Linked DNA regions of Kluyveromyces lactis. The protein of the gene in region 1 interacts with the protein of each later gene in a pairwise test. Links are inferred from orthologs where the notes say so. Each region holds a gene or a part of one and is shown in the gene's direction. Other genes may lie near its edges. The genes, in order: NOC2, NOP4, SPB1, MAK21, DBP10, MAK16 and RRS1.

Region 1 (4,020 bases):
CCTTATGTTATCAAGCGTTTCCTTCTCGATATAATTCGCTAGATCGGATACTTTAGTAGGATCCATTGTATACCCTGGTAAATCGTTCACAACTTTATCTTCTATCAAATAAGTTTGCATGGTTCTGGTAAAGTTGGGAATATGTGATACTCCACCTTCATTGAAGATGGCCCTACGGCGAGTACTTTGTATTTGTTCGTGGCCTTTTGGAGGACCAATAACGTTGCCTCTCTTATCAAGTTGAGCTTGGAAACTTGTTGATTTTTCATGGAGCAAAGAATTAATGAGAGACGTTTTCCCAACGTTAGGATTACCCAATAAATAGCATCTTTTAGCCAAAGCATTTATCACTGATGGAATATTCCAATTTCTTGGGTTAGAGAACAATACTACTTTCTTAACATGTACGCCTATATGACGTCTACAAAATTCCGCAAAAAAAGCACTCCCTTTATGTGGTAGCATTGATGACTTGTATGTGATCTGATCAGCCTTTGAAAGTAGTAAATAGTTTCTATTATTCTTTTCTGCCAGGATAGTTTTGTCTAATGACAAGGGAAAGTCAGACAAAGACACAACGTGGTATACGTTTGCAGCATGCGGCAAAGCGCCCTTTATATCGTTGAAAGAATGAATTGGAAAATCAGATGAGTTGTACCTGTTATGACTTATAGCATCGACACATCTTTTACAAACCAATCTTTTGGGAATAGGTTCTTTATAATCTGGATCGGTGTCTGGATCAAGTAGCCCGATTTCATGTTTTTTTAGCTGAAGTTCTTGTGTGAACATTAAATACTTCAAATCTTCAATGGTGCCAGCATCTTTCCTGACAGCGCGAGGAGGCTTATAGTAGCCTGTCACAGAAGGATTCTTGGATTGCAACTCAACACCACAGCTTTTGCATGATACAAACCGAGTAAACTGCTTAAAAGCTTGGAGCCGTGATTTCATAAAAGGTAATACTACTACTATTTTCTGATGCATATACCTCAGTACTCTTATCAATAACGGCTCAAAACTGTTGCATCTCTCGACATTCTGTTTGCAGTTTGTTGCATCTTTTGTCGATACCTTTCCAAGCATGTCAATTACCATATTACTTGCACTATTCATCGATGTCAAGGCGATGCCATTACCCGGATACAAAAAGAAACGCCATGAAAAGTTTTCCAAATATCCAAACCAAAATTCAATCCGATGAGATGAGATGAGATGAGATGAGATGAGATGCCCCAAGAAGAGATATAGAGAAACTTTAACGCAGCTCTAACAACTTAACCAGTAGTCGCTCTAGATAATCTTCTTGAAATCATATTGTTGATCAAAGGCATAATCTTGGGACCTGTTACCTATTGATAAAGGGATCAAGAATTACACAATGGGTAAAGTTTCAAAAGCTACTAAAAAGTTTCAGACGAAACACTTGAAGCATACGTTGGACCATAGAAAGAAGTTAAAAGATCATTCTAAGAGAACCGCCGGTCGTAGGGGTAATAAGACAGAAGAAGAAAAGAATGCAGCTGCGTTGACCAAAGAAGATCAAAAGTTGAAGAAGTCCGCTAAGGAAGAAGTCTTCAACGACATGAAGGTTGAAGAGTTCTTCGACAATGGGTTCGATATTCCAAAAATGTCAAAGAAAATGGCTAAAGAAACCGAAAAAGCATCAAAGGTGAAAGATAATGATTCAGAGTCTTCTGCCGAAGAAGATGAAGATGTTAAAATGGATATGGAAGATTTGGCAAAGAAGGATCCTGATTTCTACAAATATTTGGCAGAGAACGAACCAGATCTTTTGTCTTTCAAATCTACCAATCCTCTAGATGAAATATCAGATGACGAAGAAGGGCAAGTGGGTGAAGAAGAAGAACTGAAAGAACCTGATTTATCAAAGTCCAAGAAGGAGGAAAAAGATAGCAAAATTGCCGTCGACATAAAGCTCGTAAATAAATGGAAGAAGGATTTAAAAAATAGCCCATCTTTCAAAACTATCAGAAGTGTGGTTTCAGCTTTTAAAGCTGCTGTGAACATGAACAACGAGGAAAATGTAGACGATTACAAGTTCACAGTTCTTGATGAAAAAGCCTTCCACGAGTTAATGTTCGTTGCCCTTGTGGATATGCCAAAAGCCGTCCAAAAATTGACACCTTATAGGGTCAGTAAGAATGAAACCAGAACTCTCCCATCAAATAAAAATGTTACAAAATTGTCCTCTGTTTTGAAATCGCACGTTCCATCTCTTATCGTTCTCCTAAGTGACATCACAAACACAGACGTCGCTTCAATGATTTTGCATTCTACCTATGAGCTATTACCATACTTTATTTCATTTAGAAGATTACTAAAAGAATTAATTTCTCAAGTCGTCGAAGTTTGGTCCACTACTGGAGACGTTGAAACTCAAATTGCCACATTCGCGTTTTTGAACAATGCCTCTCGTGAATATAAGAAAGCTTTATTAGAAGTTGTATTGAAGTCCACGTATTCTACTTTCATTAAAAGTTGTCGTAAAACTAACATCAGAAACATGCCTCTAATCAATTTCCAAAAGAACTCTGCTGCTGAACTTTTCGGTATTGATGACGTTATAAGTTATCAATCGGGTTTCGAATATATCAGACAACTAGCCATTCACTTGAGAAACAGTATCAATGCCACAACTAAGAGGTCCTCAAAGGTGGACCCATCAAGTGCTTACAAGATTGTATATAACTGGCAGTTCTGTCACTCTTTGGACTTCTGGTCTCGTGTTATATCCATCCAATGTAACCCAGAAAAGGAAAACGGCCACGAATCCCCTCTTAGACAATTGATTTACCCACTAGTCCAAGTTACCATTGGTGTCATTAGATTGATTCCAACAGCACAATTTTTCCCATTGAGATTTTATTTGATCAGATCCTTGATCAGATTATCTCAAAACACTGGTATCTTCATTCCAGTTTACCCATTATTATCTGAGATTCTCTCCTCTACTGCATTCACAAAGAAACCTAGAAAGTCAACGTTACCTGCATTTGACTTTGATCATAACATCAAGTGTACACAAGCATACTTGGGGACAAAAATATACCAAGACGGGCTAGCTGAGCAATTTGTAGATTTGCTAGGTGAGTACTTTGTTCTATACTCCAGAAGCGTTTCATTCCCAGAATTAACAACGCTTGCCGTTATCTCATTACGTCGTTATATCAAGAATTCTGAGAATGTAAAGTTTAACAAGATGTTGCAAAACGTGGTAGATAAAATCAACCAAAACGCTCAATTCATTACAAAGAAGAGATCAGATGTAGACTTCGGACCAAACAACAGAACAGAAGTAGAAAAATTCTTAAATGAAATATCGTGGAAAGATACTCCTCTTGGTTCCTGGGTTGCTATCCAAAATGAGGTTAAGGAAGAAAAGGCCAGACTCTTAAGAGAATCCTTGGAATCTGACGATGATGAAGAAGAAGAAAATATTTCTGACGGAGCCCAAGACATAGTAATGGATGATGCTGAATCTGAAGCAGATGAATAATCAAATGATTGTATGATAAGTTCAAACTTTCTTCAATTTTAAATTCATTGGTAATCCTATGTCTTCGACCATCTTATATTGGATTGCCTCCTTGTCAAAGACATCGGCGGTAAATTTCATGAAAATAGAAATTACATTATGTAAATTATTTTAAACATGTATACTCAACATTACATTCAGAATACAAAGCTCGGGAGTACAATCTGCGGTAGGCATAACTTGACCAAGTGGAATAATTCTTATACCAGTACTCATTACAGGCGTTATGTCGAATGTCATGAATTTTGAAGGTGATAGTGAAACAACCTTAGTTCAAGAGAATGATTCATTTAGTGATATCTTGCCCAAGTTATCTTGCAGAAACCCTGAAGAAAGATCTACGGGTAGTGTGTTACTTTTAAAGGAGATCCGGAGGTTAGAGAACGATCTTGATCGACAAATACGAGATCTTACGAAGAAAGAGTTTGCTTTGAAAAGGGCAGTGAAAATAATGCAAACTT
Region 2 (3,815 bases), on another chromosome or scaffold:
GTTCTATTAGTGGAGATGGCTCTAGTGCATCCTTGCCCGAATATACGGACCAAATCCCATACCCTGTAGTATTTACAGACGGCAGCCCTAGAGAAAGGTTTAATTCGTGTAATGACGTGGTTGGTTTCCTGCTAATTCTTTCCAACCTGATTGTCTTGGAATGTAGCTTTGAGAATGCCAGTAATATAAGTTGTGAGTGAGTATCAGACTGCAACGAGTGGAAGATAATCGAGTGTCCCGGCATAATAGCAAAGTAGAACGGTTTGTGTGTATTGATAATAAGGTCGCCAGTTGATTCGAACAACTGAACTCGGCATATGTACATACTTAAATCATCGTTTTCCTCAATGTTAACATCCAATTCGTAAAGTCGTTTAAACTGTTCGCGCATACCATTGATAAGCTCATTCGGCTCCACATTTACGATAAATTGCTTTCCATCTCTATCCAAACATCTGGACGCTACCCATTGGTTAGTTGAAGTGTCACATAAAACAGACCAGATATCCAGTTGTGATAACTGTTCTCGAGATAAAGAAGGCCACCAACTCGTGACAGCCATATTAGCAATATTCCGTACCCCATGTTTTTTCACCAATTCAACTAAATTATCCGAGACCAGCTGTGAATCATTAATGGCATGTGTATCAAGCCAGGTAGTGATCAGTTTCACTATTGCCTGTGCACCGAGCCTAGCAAGTTTATTCTTTGTAACTGTAATATCTACATTATTATTGTCATTTCGAAGCGTGCGTTCCATCTTGGCCGTCCCAATAATATGCTGTTCACCGTCCATATAACACCATCATAAAAAGAACATAAGGATTAAGGGTCATCAAACCTTTCCATAGTTTCAGATTATAGTCGATGTTAAAATTCCATGCATTTTATATAGTATTGATTCTGACAAGAAAGTGAGAACAATCAACTAAATTGGTCTAACTGTCGTATAAGATTGACAGAATATCTTCATAGAACCAGGAAAGTTGTATTGCATCGGAGAACAGAGGTATTGAACAGCCGTATATGCCAGGAATATCCACACGTGATCTGTTCATCTCTTTAAATCTTACAGCTTTTCAGTCCGCTTGATTTCTTTTTGTCAAAAAATTTTAAAGCTCATCTCATCTCATCGCCCAAGAACCATTAGTATTGATATCTAGTATATATATAGTAGAAGGTTAATGAACACATTTATATACTTATTTTGTTAGCGTCTACATCAAACGACGCAGATTTGTGCTTAATATATCTGTGATGAGTGATAAGAAAGTTATTAAGGATGAAGGTCTTGATCTGAAGACGTTATTTGTTCGTGGTGTGCCGTTTGAGTCTACCGATGAAGAATTCGGTAACTTCTTCTCCCAATTCTCTCCTATCAAGCATGCTGTTATTGTCAAAGATGGTGAGGGTGCAAGCAGAGGATTTGGTTTTGTTAGTTTTGCAGTTGAAGATGATACTAAGACTGCTTTGAATCAGGCTAGAAAGACGAAGTTTATGGGACGTTTGTTGAGAATCGATATTGCCAAAAGAAGAGAACGTTCCCGTGGTAAAAAGGATGCGGATGAGGTATCATCAGCACCTTCCGTAGATAATGTTAAAGATGAGGAGGAAAGCAAACCCGAAGATGATAATGATTTAATGAAGGGTAAACCGAAATTAATTATCAGAAATATGCCATGGTCCTGTCGTGATCCGACGAAACTGAAGAAAATCTTCGGATTGTACGGTACCGTTGTTGAAGCTACGATCCCAAGGAAGAGAGACGGTAGATTATGTGGGTTTGCTTTTGTTACAATGAACAGGATCTCTAACTGTAAGGCTGCTATAGAAGGCACTAAGGATTTGAAGATCGATGGCAGGAAAGTGGCTGTTGATTTTGCAATTCAAAAGAACAGATGGGAGGACTATAAGAACGAACATAAGGAACTGGAAGCGTCTGATGAAGATGAGGAAGAAGAAGAAGAAGATGATGATGATGATGAGGATGATGGTTCTGATTCGGGTGAAGAGGACGCTGACAATCAGGACGACAAAGAAAAAGAAGAAAAAAGTGACATCGTCTTGGATTCTGATGAAGAAATCAGCGAAGAGGAGGAAACACCAGAACAGGATACCGTAAAGAAGAACAGAAAGGAAGATTTCTCTATTTTTGTGCGTAATGTTCCATACGATGCCACTCAAGAATCCTTAGAACGTCATTTCGGCGTGTTCGGCCCAGTAAAATACGCTTTGCCAGTGATTGATAAAGAAACTGGTTTGGCGAAGGGTACTGCTTTCGTTGCATTCAGAAGCGAAGATGCTTACAACGACTGTCTAAATAATGCTCCTGCTACAGGAAGTACATCCCTTCTAATAAGTGATGATGTTTCCCCAGAGTATGTTTATGAGGGTCGTGTTCTTGCAATTTCTCCAACTCTTGATAGAGAATCTGCTGGAAGAATGTTTGAGAGAAATGCCGAGAAGAGAAAAGAAGTTCTTGGTAAGGCACCAGGTGAAAAGGACAGACGTAATCTATATTTGTTAAATGAAGGTAGAATTGTTGCAGGTTCAAAGCTTTCACAGTTGTTAACTCCTGCTGATATGGAAGTCAGAGAAAAATCTTACAAGTTAAGAGTCGAACAATTGAAGAAGAATCCAACGTTACATCTTTCGATGACTAGATTGGCTATCAGAAATATTCCAAGAGCAATGACTGAGAAGGGTCTAAAGGCGCTAGCTCGTAAAGCTGTAGTAGAGTTCGCCAAAGAAGTTAACGAAAACAAGAGACACGCATTGAATAAAGAAGAAATCGTCAGATCTACTAAGGAAAAGTACAAGTTCATGTCTGAAGAAGAAATCGAAGCTCAAAAGAAGAAGGACAAGAAACAAGGTATTGTTAGACAATCTAAAATTATCATGGAAATTAAAGGATCTAGCGGTGGTAGAAGTAGAGGGTATGGTTTTGTTGAATTCAGGGATCATAAAGCTGCGCTAATGTGTCTAAGATGGTTAAATGCTCATGAAGTCAGTAGGGACGAAATCTTAGAAGGACTTACGGATGATGAAAAGAAACAGCTTGATGCAGACAGTTTCAAAAAAAGAAGACTGGTGGTCGAATTTGCTATCGAAAACGCTAACGTTGTGAAGAGAAGAAGAGAAAAGGTCAAAGAATCTAGATTGATATCTTTCAAGAGAAAAAGAGATGATGAAGAGAATAAAGAAGAAGAAAAAGTGGCTCAACCAGTAGAAGAGGAAACAAAATCTGGTCTAAGTAATAATATTAAACAGATTATTGGATCTAAACGTAGAAGAAAGAACAAGGGCCGTTCTTGAATGTAAACAATAGTCAAAGGCAAAAATTCAAAGCATTCCGAAGCAATGAAGTTTCTAGGATATAAAATCTGTATATTAAATAACATGCATTTCAATTATAGAATCATTTTCTCTTTTTCCGTGCTGATCCTCCGGTTGCAGTATTGCTTGTGGGGTTGTTTCCATTACCAGACACAGCAGCTGCAGCGGCAGCTGCCGCTGCTGCTGCCAAGATACGTTTGTTTACACCTAATCCGTTCATGTTCCCATTCTTATTATTATTGTTACCATGCATTGGTTGTTTTTGAGAGTGATTAGCTTGATTATTATCATTGCCGACATTCGTAATGTCGTTATCGTTTGTGTGAATGCGCCTTGGTGGGTATTTGTAGTTGAGACCCTCGAACACATTTTCACAGACAGGAGGGTCGCCGTTGGTGAAATAGACATGGTCTAAAGCGTCGATTGCATCGATTCTCTTGATAGGATCATACTGCAATAGACGGTAAAGAATGTCTAAA
Region 3 (4,081 bases), on another chromosome or scaffold:
AAGGCCATTAAAATTGGGATAGCAAACAGTACGGCAAAGAACAAGAAGGTTTTGAGACCTCCCCCAACTTTCCTTGTTACATAGTAAGGAATACCACCGAGCAAGGAGAATAATAACCAATTGGAAAAGTGTCTGGAAGAAGGTCCCTCTGCAGGCAATGGAGCGTTCTTAATAGCTGGTGATGCTGTCGTTTTCACGCCATATTTGGAATTCACTGGTTCAGGAGTTTCCGCCGGAGGAGTCTCCTTAAACTGAATCGTTTCAAATGAATACTTACTCATCTTCCCGTGTATTCAACGCAGTGGATACTAGATTGATATCTTGCGCAATTGAATTAAACAATACTTTATGTACAAGTATCTCATACAACCATAAATTAATCAAGTAAGTAAGTACTTGAAAGGATTTTTGATTTTTGCAGTTTTATTTTGGAATGCTTTTCTTCTTCCTTTTTTCTCTGTCTGTAACGTGTATCGTTCTACTGGCTGGAATGTACAATACGCAGATATTCTGGCCAAATATAGTGATACTGAACCCGGATGAATTAGGCTATATATACACCTACGTATAAGCGGGAACCATTATGTTGTGTGATAATTGGATATAAGATTGCAGTTACTGCCAATGGACCGAGAGGGCCATAGAATGCATCTCTATTTCGAGAGGCGGTCATAAATTTATTTAGCCTATGGTATGATCAGCAGTAGCAATAGTAGTAACTACCCATACCTATAATCTTGCAGAAATATTATAAGCATCGGTACCCTTATAGCCTGAGAGCGTTGCATAATTATTTGTAAACGTTGGCAGTGCTAATGGTTGAAAAAAAACCGAAATCATATTCCTTATTTAAAACTGTGGAACGCTAAGGGCCCTCTATATAAGTCTTGTGTTGTTACAGTAATATCAATATCCATGATAACACGTCCAAACAGATTTTTTACTGCTCGTTATTTTAACAGTGGAAACCGTGCATAGCATCAAAGCTGGCAGTTCCTCCAGTACAGTGTCCGGTGTTTCCATACCTGGTACCGCGAGCATTCTTAACCCGAACACCGCATCCAAAATTATTTCTTTTTCAGATAATTTTTCATTATTTGTGAGAAGAGTGACAATTTTTTATTTGAGAAATTGGTCTAGCGATGAGATGAGATGAGATGAGATGAGAAGAGATTAGTTGAACGTTGAACAGGTTACAACTGTTGTTTATTTGCTTTCTGATATCCTGTTCTCTTTTAGACTTGAGTGAATAGGTCACCATACATTACCGAGAAGACCAAGATGGGTAAGAAGACGCAAAAGAAGAATTCCAAAGGTCGTTTAGATAAGTACTATTACCTTGCTAAGGAAAAGGGCTACAGAGCTCGTTCTTCCTTCAAAATCATTCAAATCAATGAAAAGTATGGACATTTTTTGGAGAAGTCGAAGGTCGTTATCGATTTATGTGCTGCACCAGGTTCCTGGTGTCAAGTGGCTTCCAACTTGTGTCCTGTTAACTCCTTGATTATTGGTGTCGATATTGTTCCGATGAAAACTATGCCAAACGTTATTACTTTCCAAAGTGATATCACAACGGAAGATTGTAGATCGAAATTAAGAGGGTACATGAAGACGTGGAAAGCCGACACCGTTTTACACGATGGTGCTCCAAATGTTGGTTTGAGTTGGGCTCAAGATGCCTTCACACAGTCTCATTTAACACTGCAAGCCTTAAAATTAGCCGTTGAAAATTTAGTAGTTGGTGGTACATTTGTAACGAAGATCTTCAGATCCAAAGATTACAACAAGCTAATTTGGGTATTTCAACAGCTCTTCGAAAAGGTGGAGGCAACCAAACCTCCTGCTTCCAGAAATGTTTCTGCGGAAATTTTCGTTGTCTGCAAAAATTTCAAGGCCCCTAAGAAGTTGGATCCAAGGCTATTAGACCCAAAGGAAGTCTTTGAAGAATTACCAGATGGTCCACAAAACATGGAAGCCAAGGTTTTTAATCCAGAAAAAAAGGTCAGAAAAAGAGGTGGTTACGAGGAAGGTGATTATTTGTTATACCATGAAACTGGTCTTATGGACTTTATGAAATCAGAAGACCCAATAACTATGCTTGGAGAATATAATAAATTCATCGTAGACGAAGAAGATCATGACTGGAAAATTGTGAAGAAATTAAAGCAAACCACCAAAGAATTCTTGGCATGTATCGAAGATTTAAAGGTTCTTGGTAGAAAAGATTTCAAGATGATCCTAAAATGGAGAAAAGCAGCTAGAGAACTTTTAGGCTTGGATGAAGAGGAAGAAAAACCAGAGATTGAGGAAACACCTTTGACAGAAGAAGAGCAGATTGAAAAAGAACTAAATACTCTACAGGAGAAACAAAGGTTGTCTGTTAAGCGTGAGAAGAGAAAGAAGAACGAAATGAAACAGAAGGAAATTGTTCGTATGCAATTAAATATGATCAATCCAGTAGACATTGGTATCGAAGCTGCAGAGTTAGGTAGAGAATCAATTTTCAATTTGAAAACTGCAGAAAAAACGGGTATCCTTGATAAACTTGCCAAGGGTAAGAGAAGAATGATATTTGATCAAAATGAATTAGCCATAGATAACGATATCCACATTGATGAAAATGCGCCTCTGGATGATCGTGATGAGCTCGCTGAGGCTGATGAACTAGAATCCCAACTTGATGCCATGTACAGTAACTATAAGGAACGCAAGTCAGAAAGAGATGCAAAGTTTAGAGCTAAGCAAGCCCGTGAATCCAGTGAAGCGGACAACTGGAATGGATTCGAGGACAAACAAAGTGATGAAGAGAACGAAGAAGAAACTAAGGATTATGTTGACGACGATGACAACTCGGATCTTTCAGACTCTGACGATGATGAAGCTATCAATCAGTTGATAGCAAAATTGAAAAGTAGAGAAAACAGCAGCAAGTTAAGTTCTAAAGCTCGCGCGCTATTTTCCGATTCTTTATTCGAGGGAGTTGAACCAGATTTACCTGGTAAGGCGGATCTTGCGGATTCAGAGTCTGTGGGTGATGTCAAACAACTAACAAAGAAAAGAAAATTGAATCCACTTCCTGCAGAGCAGATTTCTGAAGCCGAATCTTCCGACGAAGATAGTGATTTCGAAATCGTCGCAAACAACGAAGATGGCGATGTAGACTCTGAGTATGATTCCGAAGAAGAGGCAAAGAGGACAAAACAAGAGAAACATTCCAAAGACATTGATATTGCGACCGTTGAAGCTATGACTCTAGCTCATCAATTGGCATTAGGTCACAAAACGAAACATGATTTAATCGAAGAGGGTTTCAATAGATATTCTTTCCGTGATATGGAAAACCTGCCCGAATGGTTCGTTGAAGAAGAAAAACAACATTCCAAAATTAATAAGCCTATCACCAAAGAAGCAGCCATGGCAATAAAGGATAAACTGAAGGCTCTAAATGCCAGACCCATCAAAAAAGTTGCTGAAGCTAAAGCCAGGAAGAAGCACCGTGCTGTTGCTCGTTTAGAAAAGTTGAAGAAGAAGGCTGGTCTAATTAATGATGACAGCGATAAATCTGAAAAGGACAAGGCTGAAGAAATTGCAAAATTGATGAGAAAGGTTACCAAGAAAGCAAAGCAAAAACCGAAGGTCACAGTTGTGGTTGCAAGTGGTAAGAATAGAGGTCTTTCCGGCAGGCCTAAGGGTGTTAAGGGTAAATATAAGATGGTTGACGGTGTTTTAAAGAACGAACAAAGGGCTTTGAAACGTATCGCTAAAAAGCATCACAAAAAATAAGGAATGCTAATCATATCACTTAATCCGTGAAATGGAATTGTACATTATATTTAGTCGTAGATAGAATATTGAATAAGATCAACCTACTTCAAAAAAGTTTTCTGATCAAATACAAAACAGAAAAGAGCACCAATCCCAAGGTAAACAGCTGAATACATAAGTTATCAGATGAGTCTAGTTTCGGAAGGTTAATTGTCATTTTAGTAGAATTTAGATAGTAAAATTTGGTGTTGTCAGTGAAAAAGTGTTCATATCCGATTTTTCCAGTATAGAAGGGTGACCGTTTCGTAAGTTCAAT
Region 4 (4,218 bases), on another chromosome or scaffold:
TTTTTTTTGTTCTAATGATAGAAAAAAGCAGCATGAGATTCGAAGTAACTCTTCAATTTTTCATGGCATCGTATGCTCGGTCTCTCGTTCACACACCATCCATCCTTTCACTCCTTTCCCCGGTGTGTGTTTGTCGTCATCTACCTATATTGGATTTATGACTCTGTAATAGAAAAAGGCAAAGAAACGTCACAAAACATCATAGCATCGCTACAGCATTCGATGGAAAATCCAGAATTAGCTTGAACGGACAGCTTAAGAAGCTTTATCTTCCCCGTCAATTGCCATCATTGTTCCCATATCATAAGGATCAGCTTTATCATCTTATTACTTTTATCACGCCATTATTACCATTAGCACTCTATTTTTATTTTCATTTCAGTGAAATGATGATGAAAATCAGAAAAAACACAAAGACAAATGCCATTGCAGTTATTTTTTTATACGTTTCCTTTGTCCATTCATTAGGATACCAATTGTCATTGTCTTACGAATATATAGATATTCTTCGCTATCGCTACTTAGAAAGAAAATCTCGTTTGTCTTATTCAACTTTTGAAATGTACAAGTTTGAGTTATTTTTAGGCAGGTCAATGGGTTCGTATCTATGACCCTAATGTCCCTCTAAAACTACACCTTGTATTTCGAGGTAATCAACTCGACTTGAACCTCTTCTCTTGTATGCACAATGAAAAGAAGAAGAAGTATAGTAGAAGTATTCCTTTACCAAGAGTTGTTCTCAATACGTAACTTACCTTGTTCACCTCGAGCTGGTGCATCTGAAACCATGAGTTTCCAATCAATTCATGCAAATGCACGTCTATTTCTGCCCCAAGAATGTATATGTATGTGTGTCAATGCTTATTGATGCATGCACCATTGGCAACTAATGGCACCATTGGCTTCCACCATGCACGTCGTTTGTGCGGGTAATGGCGAGGTCCCAAAAAACATTCTTTAATTGGGATTGATTCCAGTAAAGAAATTCCAATGCAGAGAGGCGGATACTTGAGGGAAGTACATACATTGTGCAACTTTTGATTCAACTTACTTTCACGCTTTACCTACTCCTGAGCATGTCCATTGGCTCGTAACGCTCTCGGCAAACCATGTGACAAGCAGATTCCCCGCTTCTTGGTCTCACTACTACATAGAATGCTTTTGTAAATACTAAACGAGAGAGACAAACTCATTACCCGGATAATCGTTAATCACGTGATGAAAAGAAACGACAAAAATTTTCTACCTTTACACCAAAATCAAGCTCATCTCATCTCATCTCATCTCATCTCATCTCAACTCTTATTATGCGCTCAGACTGTGTTTGTTGATATACACAGAGGCCACTTCTCTGTTTGTCGTTTGATTGATCTATTGCTTGGAAAGAAGCAACACTCGATAACAAGTGCAAATCTGGAATGAGTCTTGATTTATCCAAATTGAAGGAGAAAGTGTCCTCCAAATTGGGAGCTTCAAAGGCCAAAGACACTAAGCCTAAGAAGAGTAAGAAGCAGGGCGAAAAAGAGACAGACGTTACTCCAGCTAAAGAGGAAACTGCTGTCACCAATGAAGAATTGATCCGTGAAGCTCTGTCTCTTGGAGCCTCTGAAAAAGATGTCCAGCTTGTTGATGGTGTTGACGACGATGCCAGTGAGATTGAATTCAATGAAGCCGATGAAGAAGTTGATGACGAGTTTAAGAGCGATTTCAGTGCTTTATTGAAGAATATGGGATTCGATAAACTACCTGAACCTGAAGTTGTAGAAGAACCAACAGTTACTGAGGATGCAGGCAAAGAAGAGAAAGATATTGAAGAGGAGGAGGTAGAAGTTGAAGAAGAAGAAGAAGAAGAGACGGTAGAGAAAGAGGAGGAACCACTTAGTCCTAAACCAGCAGAAAAAAAAAAGGAAGATCAATCCGACATGATCACTCAAACTCATATTGTTCAAAGTGATAAATTACTTGTTCCATCAGATTTGTTGTGGTACGAAGTTCCTTTGGACCCTGAATTAACAAGAGAACAGGATCCGCTAACGAAAGAACAGATAGATAAGTTATACCAGCGTGGTAAAGAGGCCTTAGAATTAGATAACACTAATTACTACGAAGAATTTACCAAGAACTCATCTCAACGTAAGTTTATGTCCCAGATCTTAAGCGATGGTACGTTGAACGATAAAATTAGTGCTTTGACTTTATTGCTACAGGAATCTCCATTGCATAATATCAAATCTCTTGATTCTTTGATATCCTTTTGCGGGAAGAAGTCAAGAAATTCCGCATTACAAGCTTTGAATGCTCTGAAGGATTTGTTCTTAAATGGTCTGTTACCTGACCGCAAGTTAAAATACTTCAAGAACCAAAACCTTTCCATGCTACTGAATAAGAGAACTTTAGCTATTTTATATTTTGAGGATTACTTGAAGGGTCTATATTTCAAGATTTTGGAAATCTTTGAGAAATTATCCCATGATCCTATCATCTATGTCAGAATGCAAGTGCTAACACATATCTTTGACCTGCTAACAGCCAAACCAGAACAGGAATTCAACTTGTTGAAACTTGGTGTTAACAAATTAGGTGACATTGATAACAAAGTAGCGTCAAAGGCTTCCTTCAAACTTTTGAAACTTGAAACTCAACATCCAAATATGAAATCAATTGTGGTAGACGCTGTTGTCGATATTGCCATAAGGCCTCAAGCTGACTATCATACTACATACTATTCCGCATTGACACTTAATCAAACAATTTTGAAACGCTCCGAGAAGAATCTAGCAAATCAGCTAATCAAGACCTATTTCACTTTATTCGAGAAATTCTTAATCCAAACTGATGCTGATAACGAGGAATCAAAGAGTGAAATCAAGGAATCCGATAAGTCATATGAAAAGAAGAGAAAGAAGAACTTCAAGAAGGGTAAAAAGGGTGGTAAGTCTGTCATTGAAGAAAAAAGTGCTCAAGAAGTTATCGAGGAAAAAAATACCAAATTATTCGGTGCTATTCTAACTGGTTTGAATCGTGCTTTCCCATTCTCTGATATGCCGGGATCCGTGTACGAGATACATCTTGATACATTGTTCAAGATAACACATGCGTCTAATTTCAACACTTCAATTCAAGCATTAGTATTGATTCACCAGGTTGTCGTGAAGACAAACATCACAAGTGATAGATATTACAAGACATTATACGAATCCCTACTCGACCCAAGATTGGTGTCGTCATCGAAGCAAGGTATTTACTTAAACTTGCTTTACAAATCTTTGAAAGATGATAAAGACATTGGAAGAGTGGATGCTTTCGTAAAACGTATATTGCAAGTCTGTGCCCATTGGTTGAACATCGGTGCCATTAGTGGTATGTTCTTTTTGTTGATACAACTTTCAAAGAGTTTACCGCAGATCAGAAATGTTCTAATCAACTCACCACTAGACTCTGTTTACGAATCTGATGACGAAGATTCCAGGGATAAAACTAAGGAAAAACCTGGTTACGATAGCCGTAAACGTGATCCAAAATATGCCAACGCTGAAAATTCATCGCTTTGGGAGATAAATCAATTCTTGTCCCATTTCCATCCTACTGTGCAGTCGTACGCACAAGGGTTCTTCGACGGTGACACTCAAGAAACAAGAGAGTTAGTCAAACCCGATCTTGGCCTATTCACGTTAGCCCATTTCTTGGATAGATTCGTGTACCGTAACGCCAAGCAAAAGCCAACCACTAGAGGTTCATCTATCATGCAACCTTTGGGAGGTGTACACACTGGTTCGTTATTAGTGAAGGCCAGCGATACCACATTGCACGAAGTACCTGCTAACACGGAGAACTGGTTAAGTAAGAAGGTGCAAGATATCAAGCCAGATGAAAAGTTCTTCTATCAATATTTCTCTACAAAGACTAATGCCATCAAATCTACCAAGTCAGGTGCAGAGGATGAAAACGGTACAGCTGAATTCGACGAGGAAAGCGATTTGGACGAAGATGAAATTTGGGATGCTTTAGTGAAGTCAAGACCTGACGTCGAAGGTGACGAAGAGGACAGCGATGTTGAGTTCAGTGAGGACGATTTCTCACAGGATGATTTCGGATCGTCATCCGAAGATGTCGATATTGATCTCAAAGACCTTGCATCTTCGGGAGACGAAGATGAGGCATCAGAAGCTGATCTTGAAGCTGAAGAAGGTGAACCAGAAGACATCAGTGACTTCGATC
Region 5 (4,112 bases), about 2.2 Mb from region 1:
GCTGTGAGTTGTTCACAAAACATATACCCTGAGAGTCGGGTTTTGTGGCAGTGTGTAAATCTACTTCTTTGGCCATCTCTCTAACTTCCGGTTTCGTCAAGTGACCAATTGGTAAAATCATTTGATTTAAAGAAGGAACAGAAACTTGTGATAAATAATAACTTTGATCCTTCTGTTGATACAATCCGCGCATCAAGTGTGGTTCAGATCTCTCTGGACCACTATCTCTTCGTAGTATTCGAGCATAATGTCCCATCACCAACCAGTAGTTGTTCTTACCGAACTTCACATCCAGATGATCCATCAACTTTCCGAATTTAACAAACTGATTGCAACCGATGTCAGGATTTGGTGTATAGCCCATACTATATTGTTCTAACATAGGCGCGAACACATTTAGCCAATAATCTTTCTCAAAATTCACAAACTCCACTGGGATGTTCAAATGTTTCGCTACTTTTTCTGCATCCTTCCATTCTTTCTCATAACATGGATCCTCCTCTGGTCTAGTCAATGATTGATCTTTGCCCCAATTTTGCATATATACTCCATGAACGTTCGGGTAAGCTGCGAATAATGCAGCACATACAGAAGAATCTACTCCACCAGACATTCCTACCACAATATTATCAAATTTAGATGGCATGGATTGGACATGATATCCAGGCAACCGTCTTTGTTTGCATAATTCTAAGAATCTTGAAGTGATTTTCGACATTATTCCTCGCAACTTCTGTCCGTCTGCTATATAAAGTGGTGCATCTCCTTCGGGACACTTTTATGGTGCTTTAACAAGATATAGCTGGTACTTATTTCAGTAAACCTTGAGAAGTTATAGTTGTGATCTTCATGTACTTTTTTTTGTCAGATACTGAATTGATTGGCTTGCATAGAAAAAAAAAAACCAAGATAATGTACAGAGGCGAAATTCAGGGAAACAAGTTGAAATAGTTATAGTAAAATTTTAGAGTATGACGTTCTATTTACTTGAGTTTGGTAATATTCGTGACACATAATGTTGAAGTTTTTGTTTTAGGTCACTTGATCTTCTTGGTTTCACACAAAGCGTCAGTTTGATGTTTAATTCTGTTTATGCCGGTCTTGAAAACTATTTCTTTTTCCTTATGAAAATTTTGAAAATACATCACTTTCCAAATAAGAGATGCGATGAGATGAGATGAGATGAGATAGTAACTCATTAATATCAGTAGTGCTAAATATTCTTTTATATCGTATTGATTATAAGGCCAATCATTGTTTGCCATAAATCAACTGTTAGATATCGAACTCAGGTTAATCAAATTTAACAGTAATGGTTGATTCTAGCAAAAGAGCTCTCCCAGCAGAAGATTACTCCTCCGAAGATGAGGATGCTTTCGACATTGCTGGTGATATTGCTTTAAATGCTGATAGTGAAGATAGTGACATTTCTGATGATGATAATGACAATATTGGTTTCCAAGCTGAAGTTCAAGATGTTATCGAGTTTTCTAGTGATGAGGAAGAGAAAGAGAAGAAACCAAAGAAACAAAACAAGAAAGCCAAAGTCAAGGCAGGTCCCATTGTGGACAGTAAGTTCCCAAGTCTTGAGCTTTCGGACGACGAAAAGAAGGCTACGAATGAATCGGATGATGACTTAAACGATTATTTCAACACTACCGCTGATGCTGCGGCTAAACATAAGAAAGGTTCGTTTGCAAGTTTCGGTCTCTCAAAACTAGTATTGATTAATATCTCGAAGAAAGGTTTCAGGCAACCTACACCAATTCAAAGGAAAACCATTCCCCTTATTTTACAAAAGCGTGATATTGTCGGTATGGCACGTACCGGTTCAGGTAAGACTGCTGCTTTTGTGCTTCCTATGATAGAAAAATTAAAGACCCATTCGGCCAAGATTGGTGTTAGAGCCGTTATTTTATCACCATCAAGAGAATTGGCCATTCAAACTCATAGAGTTTTCAAAGAGTTTTCGAAAGGCTCGGATTTACGTTCTATTTTGTTAACAGGTGGTGACTCTTTAGAAGACCAATTCGGTATGATGATGGGGAATCCTGACGTCGTCATTGCTACGCCAGGTAGATTCTTGCATTTAAAAGTTGAAATGAACTTGGATTTGAAATCAGTCGAATATGTTGTATTTGATGAAGCTGATAGATTATTCGAAATGGGTTTCCAGGAACAACTGAATGAACTGCTTGTGGCATTCCCAACTAATAGACAAACATTATTGTTTTCGGCAACATTGCCATCATCATTGGTTGATTTTGCTAAGGCAGGCTTGTCAAACCCAGTATTGGTTAGACTTGATGCTGAAACGAAGATATCAGAAAATTTGGAGATGTTATTTATATCTATAAAAAAGGATGAACGTGAAGCCAATCTATTATATCTGTTACAAGAAGCTATCAAGATGCCTGTTGCCACGGAGTCCCAAATAAAGAAGCTCAAACAGCAGAATGATGCGGATTCTGACAGTGATGACAGCGAAGATGAAAAGAAAAAGAAGGCAAAGAAGGCTAAAAAATCCAAAAGGCGCTTACCGAATGCGAACGAAATGCCATCCGAAAAGGCAACAATCGTTTTCGTTCCAACAAGACATCATGTCGAATACGTCACACAGTTATTGAAGAACTGTGGATACCTAGTATCATATATTTATGGTGCTTTGAATCAACATGCCCGTAAGCAACAGCTCTATAATTTTAGAGCTGGTTTAACATCTATCTTGGTTGTGACAGATGTGGCAGCCAGAGGTGTTGACATTCCTTTGTTAGCGAATGTGATTAATTACTCTTTGCCAGGTTCTTCAAAAATTTTCATTCATCGTGTAGGTAGAACGGCCAGAGCTGGTAATAGAGGTTGGGCCTTTTCGATTGTCTCTGAAAATGAACTACCTTATCTCTTGGATCTAGAATTATTCTTGGGTAAGAAGATCCTTTTAACACCCATGTATGAATCGTCGTGCCAGATACTCAGAAAGAAGGCAGAATCTGAGGGTAATAATAATTTCACCGATCCTAAGGTTTCTTACACCACAAGAATGGTCCTTGGTGCTTGTCCACGTTCTGAGATTGATGGTATGGGTGACCTTTATAGCAATATGATCAAATCTGACTTTGAGTTAAATACTGTGAAAGGTGTTGCCCTGAAAGCCGAAAAACTTTACTTTAGAACCAGGACACCAGCGTCTGCTGAATCCATGAAAAGGTCAAAGGAAATTCTCAGATCAGGATGGGACGAACAGAATATATACTTCGGTAAGAACGCCGAAAAAGAGAAATTGGATTTCTTAGCTAAGTTGCAACACAGAAATAACAAGGAAACTGTATTCGAGTTCGCAAGGAATCCAGACGATGAAATGTCTGTGTTAATGAAGAGAAGGAGGAGACAAATAGCTCCAATTCAAAGGAAGGCAAAAGAAAGACAAGAACTTCTGGAAAAAGAGAGAATGATTGGTTTGAGGCATAGTATAGAAGATGAAATTTTGAAAGGTGAAGACAACGAAGTTGGTTACTCAGTGCCTGATGAGGTATTGAAAGAATTTGAAGATGCCGATGTCTTGTTAGAAGAGCAAGAAAATATTAAGAAGAAGCAGAAGAAAACTTTCAGAGATCCAACTTTTTATCTATCACATTTCGCACCAACTAGTGACATTCAAGATAAACAATTACAGATATCATCTGGTTTCACAAATGATGCTTCCAATGCTGCATTTGATCTAGCCAACGATGACAAGGTACAAGTTCACAAGCAAACAGCTACGGTTAAGTGGGACAAGAAGCGTAAGAAATATGTGAACACTCAAGGTTTGGACAACAAAAAGTACATCATCGGAGAAAGTGGTCAAAAGATTCCTGCAAGTTTCAGATCCGGAAAATTCCAAGATTGGTCTAAGGCAAGAAAAATTGCTCCACTCAAAGTTGGTGCAAGAGAATCCACTATTCCATCGAATCTATTGGCTGATCCGACTTCTCCATCGGAGCGTACGGTTGGCGGTAAATTCAAACACAAGACTCAAAAAGCTCCTAAATTGCCTGATAAACATAGAGACGATTACGCTTTCCAAAAGAAAAAAGTGGAAGCTGCTTTGGAAAGAGGTGTTAGAGTTAAGG
Region 6 (2,708 bases), on another chromosome or scaffold:
TGCACCAGATTGGAAAATACTGATGAACAAATTCGTAATTTGTTAAACCAGTACACATTAACTGATTCAAGGCTTAAAATAGACAATTTAGAGCAACATATCCCGTTCATTCTGATGTATGATTCTAAATCTGTGGCAAACCAATTGACCTTGATTGAAAAGGAAATTCTATCTGAAGTTGATTGGAAAGATCTATTGGATTTGACAATGAGTGAACAACTTCCACAATTTACCAGTTGGCTGCAATTATTGGTACAGAACGAAAACTTGTCGGGTATCGATTTAGCCATAGCAAGGTTCAACTTGACCGTGGATTGGATCATTTCTGAAATCGTAATGACTCAGGACATAAGGTTGAGAAGGAACACGATCCAAAGATTCATTCACATAGCCGAACACTGTAAAGAGTTACAAAATTACAATACTTTGATGGAAATCATCCTTGCATTAAACTCCATTGTCGTTCAGAAATTCACTGAAACATGGAGACTTGTCGAACCAGGCGATCTATTGACTTGGGAAACGTTGAAGGCCATACCATCCCTGGAAAAGAATTACAGTAACATTAGACAATTAATAGACGAAGTCGAACCACTTTCTGGATGCATTCCATTTATCGTGGTATACTTATCGGATCTATCTTTAAACATTGAGAAACGTACCTGGATTGTACATGACGAAGTGCTAAATTACAACAAATTCCAAACAAATGTTCAAATAGTGAAAAACTTCGTACAGAAGATGCAATGGTCCAAATTTTACAACATTGATATTGACCATGAGTTGTTAAGCAAGTGTGTTTACATCACATCATTGTCCCATGACGAAATCAATTCAATTTCACATAAATCCCCAATTTAATTCTTTAATGTCGAGTAAAGTATTTGACATAGAACTAGTTAGTCTCAGTTCATTTCACCTCATATAATATATATATCAACACACGATTTTATCAGTTTCAAATAGTTTCATCCACATTTTTTTCGAACATATTTGAATGAAGGTTAATCTCTTTAGATCTAATCATGCATATTCCGACTCTTGATTAAGTTTCCGATTATAACAATAAAATATCATTGGTCATGTGACTAAAAATTTAGTAATCCATTTCTTTTTTCTCTTTCTGCCTGAAAATTTTTGAGAACTGAAAAATATCGATGCGATGCGATGAGATGAGATGAAATGAAAGAAGCAGCGACTAGCGGAATAGCAAGTAAACTTAGCGATAGTCATAACCAATTTAAATAAACTCATACTAAGCATAAACCAGTATCTGTAGGATTGACTGAACATTAGCAGATGTCTGACGAGATCATTTGGCAGGTTATCAACCAGCACTTTTGTGCGTACAAAGTCAAAACTGATAAGGGACAGAACTTCTGTAGAAATGAATACAACGTAACAGGTTTATGTTCGAGACAAGCGTGTCCTTTGGCAAATAGTAAATATGCCACTGTAAAGAACGTGGACGGAACACTTTACTTGTACATGAAGACCGCGGAAAGAGCTCACACGCCTGCTAAATTGTGGGAAAGAGTGAAACTATCTAAGAATTACACAAAGGCATTAGCACAGATCGATGAACATTTACTGTATTGGAACAAGTTCTTAATTCATAAGTGTAAGCAAAGGATGACAAAGCTTACACAAGTGATGATTACAGAGAGACGTTTGGCATTGAGAGAGGAGGAGAGACATTATGTCGGTATTGCTCCTAAGGTGAAAAGAAGAGAAGAGAACCGAGAACGTAAGGCATTATCAGCCGCTAAGATTGAAAAGGCTATCGAAAAAGAATTGCTTGAGAGATTGAAGAGTGGTGTGTATGGTGATAAGCCTTTGAATGTGGATGAAAAGATCTGGAAGAAGGTCATGGGACGTGTAGAAGACGAGGACTTGGATGAAGAAGAAAACGATTGGGATGAGGAAGAAGAAAGCGATGAGGGAGAAGTCGAATTCGTAGAAGATGAAGACGCTGAGGATGAGATGGTAGATATGGAAGATTTAGAAAAATGGCTCGGTGGTTCTGATACATCTGATTACAGCAGTGATGAGGACAGTGACGAAGACAGTAGCGACGAAGATAGCGATGAAGAAGAAAACCCATCTAAGAGACAAAAGAAATCTACACAAACCAGAAAGAGACATCCTAAGGTTGAAATCGAATATGAACAGGAACTAAATTCCAACCAACAAGAACTTGCACAATGATGCGTTTCTGAAAAACAGAGCTCGTCATGACCACATTTGTATACTATTAAATTTGACATATTATTATATTTATTGAAGATAAATTTCCAACTACGATAAAGAAGCAAAGGCAATAGTTAATAATTATATACACTTACAATAGCATCTCACCATCAATAGTATGTCCCCTTTCCCTTCATTTTGTTATACTGTACCCAAATAATGCATTCGAAATAGCAGTCACGTGGAAATATTGTTTCCATGCTGACAGTTTTTTCTTTGTAAATTATACCGGAAAATCCCATTAGGACACATTAAACAGAAAGATTCGTAAACCATTTGCACCATGAAACCCAAGTACTTTGAAAGGGAGATACAGAGCCAGAGAGGAGCGACACACCGATCAACCTGCTTTCCAATGAGTGGCTCAACTAAGCATGGCGACAGCGATGCGTTGTTTGATGTTGACTTTCTTGATGATAGCTACACCCCGGATTTACGGGATAGTCCAAGAAGGAACA
Region 7 (2,488 bases), on another chromosome or scaffold:
TGTTCGAGAACTTATGTTTATTTGGTGACAATTTGCTATCACCAGAACGGTCTGTTCAGATGAATGCGATATCAAAAGAATACATTAGTTATCTAAGGGATCTAAACGATGAACTAAATAATTCCGGACGTGCAAAGGAAAGCATTTTAGGAGAAGAAAATGCGGTGACTCAAGAAAAGGAGAATGACAACATTTCTTCAAAATCTGGATCCCGTGGAGGTTCACAAATTTCCAAATCATCTAGTTTTTATTCAGATATCCCATCATTTACAAGAGTAGAAGAAGAAGTACCACAAGGAGAACCAACAGGCGCGGTCCTCCACAATTCACATTTGAATAGCATCGAAGAAAAAGAAGAATCAAAGTTCAACTCATCGAATTCACTGAAGGACTGCATCAAAGAGTTCAACAACATATATGCCAACCTCCAAAAATGGGATAAAGCTCTGTGCAAGTTGGAATTAGCTAAAGTTTTGGATAGAACTCTGACTATCGCAATCACATGGAAAAATCTAATAGAGTTCGAACCGCCTAATGAAATGTTTCACTCTGGTGATAATGAAAGAACAATATATGGAACATATGTCGAGAAAATCGATAAACAACGTCAACAAGTGATGATCTTACAACTCCAAGATCTCCGCAGGAAAGTTATTAAACCTTTGCAACACCTACTACAACGATTTGCTACCGTGAAGCAAAAGCTGGCAGACAGAAATTCACTGAAGAAAGAGTACATGGCATATCTGCGACAACGCGACACTGAAACCCACGACGCCAAAAAACAAATCCTCGCAAATAGCTTCCAAGATTTACAACATCAACTAGCGGAGTCTTTGCCCATATTCAACGAGTATGCCAGAGAAGCAATCACACTACTCGTGTCTCAGTACACCTTACTGATGATGGAGTACATGCAAATCATATCTGGCGGAGATCAGTTCCTCAACAAAGAATTGGAACTAGTCAATTCGGGACAGCGAGACCTGGGGGATAATTTTGACATTCTCCAGCTGTTCTGCTCTTCTAGGTACTATACGAGGCATGCAATAAGAGAGAACTGGACCTACCACGGTGATCCAAGAGCCAGTAAAGTTGTGAGAAGGTTATTTGAGTTGTGAAATAGATATACATGTTACCCGCACTTTTATTTCTTTTCTGCAATTTTTCACTTAAGAAAAATGCCAAAAAGCTTTACAACTGAGAGATGCCCGATGAGATGAGGTAAAGAAGCGAGAGGTTTGTCTGCTCTACTGTTTGGATACTTCTATATACATTATCTGATTTAAGTCGCCTTGTGTATAAAAGTTCCCTGTTTGATATTACACTCAGCTACTTCAGTTTACGACACACGGAGTATAGAAACCACAAGAATGTCTACAACAAAGTACAGCGAACGCCCAGTAACGGTTGAAAAGGCTATTCCAGTCACATACGATTTGGGTAACCTAGCAGTGTTTGACACAAACGTGTTGGATAGGAACGATTTTGATTCATCCAATGCTGCTCGTGAAAGTAACATAAAAGATTTGACCCGTGATAACGTGCAGTTGTTGATCAACCAGATTCTTTCTCTTCCTATCAGAGCTACCACAGAATCTGCAGGTGGATCCAGTGGACAATCCTCATCTATGACTTTAGTACAGTTACCAGAGCCAACAACAGAGCTACCAAGAGAAAAACCACTACCTAAGCCTAAGGCACCAACTAAATGGGAACAATTTGCTGCCAAGAAGGGTATCAAGCCAAAGGAAAGATCCGGGAAGATGATTTACGACGAGGCAGCTGGTGAATGGGTTCCAAAATGGGGTTACAAAGGTTCCAACAAAGAACTTGACGACCAATGGTTGGTCGAGGTGGACGACAAGGTCCAGGGTACCGAAGACGAGTTGATTGACCCAAGAACTTTGAACAGAGCCGAAAGAAAGAGATTGATAAAGAAGAACCAGTTGCAACAGAAAAGAAACTTGAAGAACCAAGTGAAATAAACGTTACATACTATATAACTGCATTACACACCTTACACTAGGTTACATAAACTGTATAATAGACCAACTTACTCTTTCTCGTATTGACCATTTCACTGCCGTTATCAGGTTCAAAGCCCTCCTACAGCCGGTATTTTTGCGTATACAAAATTTCAACATTATACTTTAAACAAAGTCAGAGCCTCAAAGAATGAGAGAATGAATGGGAATATTATTTGCACAGGGTGCCGGCAGATCACCAGGATCGGAAATGAGTGATCTCAAGAGATATGTTCCTATGATAGATGTACGTTTCCCCCTTTCTTTTTTATCAAGCGAATCGTTTTCGAGCAAGATACTAACTACTTCAAACTATCACATTGATGTGAATATCCATACCAGGCCATCTTAAGCGTGTCAAACCCAGAGGAAGTAAGTGCCAAGAGAATACGGAAAGCGTTACAGGAGTTATTTTCGGTAGATTTGAATTCTCACAAGCATGATTTGAAAGAACTGATCAT

What was found.
Region 2: the proteins of NOC2 (region 1) and NOP4 interact in binary tests that used the Saccharomyces cerevisiae proteins (3 or more experiments, as listed by UniProt). The link is inferred for Kluyveromyces lactis from reciprocal best matches to the Saccharomyces cerevisiae genes NOC2 and NOP4.
Region 3: the proteins of NOC2 (region 1) and SPB1 interact in binary tests that used the Saccharomyces cerevisiae proteins (3 or more experiments, as listed by UniProt). The link is inferred for Kluyveromyces lactis from reciprocal best matches to the Saccharomyces cerevisiae genes NOC2 and SPB1.
Region 4: the proteins of NOC2 (region 1) and MAK21 interact in binary tests that used the Saccharomyces cerevisiae proteins (3 or more experiments, as listed by UniProt). The link is inferred for Kluyveromyces lactis from reciprocal best matches to the Saccharomyces cerevisiae genes NOC2 and MAK21.
Region 5: the proteins of NOC2 (region 1) and DBP10 interact in binary tests that used the Saccharomyces cerevisiae proteins (3 or more experiments, as listed by UniProt). The link is inferred for Kluyveromyces lactis from reciprocal best matches to the Saccharomyces cerevisiae genes NOC2 and DBP10.
Region 6: the proteins of NOC2 (region 1) and MAK16 interact in binary tests that used the Saccharomyces cerevisiae proteins (3 or more experiments, as listed by UniProt). The link is inferred for Kluyveromyces lactis from reciprocal best matches to the Saccharomyces cerevisiae genes NOC2 and MAK16.
Region 7: the proteins of NOC2 (region 1) and RRS1 interact in binary tests that used the Saccharomyces cerevisiae proteins (3 or more experiments, as listed by UniProt). The link is inferred for Kluyveromyces lactis from reciprocal best matches to the Saccharomyces cerevisiae genes NOC2 and RRS1.

What each region holds. Positions count from the first base shown.
Region 1 is NC_006042.1:102,265-106,284, reverse strand, and holds NOC2 (mRNA-binding ribosome synthesis protein NOC2), read left to right. Parts: upstream 1-1,381; coding exon 1,382-3,520; downstream 3,521-4,020. Other genes in the region: GEP3 (Gep3p), read right to left, coding at 1-1,116; MEI5 (Mei5p), read left to right, coding at 3,786-4,020. UniProt on the Saccharomyces cerevisiae protein: Involved in the intranuclear transport of ribosomal precursors.
Region 2 is NC_006040.1:1,003,822-1,007,636, forward strand, and holds NOP4 (mRNA-binding ribosome biosynthesis protein NOP4), read left to right. Parts: upstream 1-1,257; coding exon 1,258-3,315; downstream 3,316-3,815. Other genes in the region: CHL4 (Chl4p), read right to left, coding at 1-796; cyclin-dependent serine/threonine protein kinase SSN3, read right to left, coding at 3,419-3,815. UniProt on the Saccharomyces cerevisiae protein: Required for 60S ribosomal subunit synthesis. Probably involved in the processing of 27S rRNA to produce mature 25S rRNA.
Region 3 is NC_006039.1:51,907-55,987, forward strand, and holds SPB1 (27S pre-rRNA (guanosine2922-2'-O)-methyltransferase), read left to right. Parts: upstream 1-1,281; coding exon 1,282-3,783; downstream 3,784-4,081. Other genes in the region: KLLA0_C00715g (uncharacterized protein), read right to left, coding at 1-281; PBN1 (Pbn1p), read right to left, coding at 3,872-4,081. UniProt on the Saccharomyces cerevisiae protein: Required for proper assembly of pre-ribosomal particles during the biogenesis of the 60S ribosomal subunit. Specifically methylates the guanosine in position 2922 of the 25S rRNA at the stage of 27S pre-rRNA maturation.
Region 4 is NC_006041.1:1,108,069-1,112,286, reverse strand, and holds the start of MAK21 (RNA-binding ribosome biosynthesis protein MAK21), read left to right. Parts: upstream 1-1,418; coding exon 1,419-4,218.
Region 5 is NC_006042.1:2,294,830-2,298,941, reverse strand, and holds the start of DBP10 (ATP-dependent RNA helicase DBP10), read left to right. Parts: upstream 1-1,312; coding exon 1,313-4,112. Other genes in the region: SLM3 (tRNA-5-taurinomethyluridine 2-sulfurtransferase), read right to left, coding at 1-718. UniProt on the Saccharomyces cerevisiae protein: ATP-binding RNA helicase involved in the biogenesis of 60S ribosomal subunits and is required for the normal formation of 25S and 5.8S rRNAs.
Region 6 is NC_006037.1:359,481-362,188, reverse strand, and holds MAK16 (ribosome biosynthesis protein MAK16), read left to right. Parts: upstream 1-1,299; coding exon 1,300-2,208; downstream 2,209-2,708. Other genes in the region: mitotic regulator LTE1, read left to right, coding at 1-861; aminophospholipid-translocating P4-type ATPase DRS2, read left to right, coding at 2,534-2,708.
Region 7 is NC_006038.1:1,139,056-1,141,543, reverse strand, and holds RRS1 (ribosome biogenesis protein RRS1), read left to right. Parts: upstream 1-1,373; coding exon 1,374-1,988; downstream 1,989-2,488. Other genes in the region: FUS2 (Fus2p), read left to right, coding at 1-1,121. UniProt on the Saccharomyces cerevisiae protein: Required for ribosome biogenesis.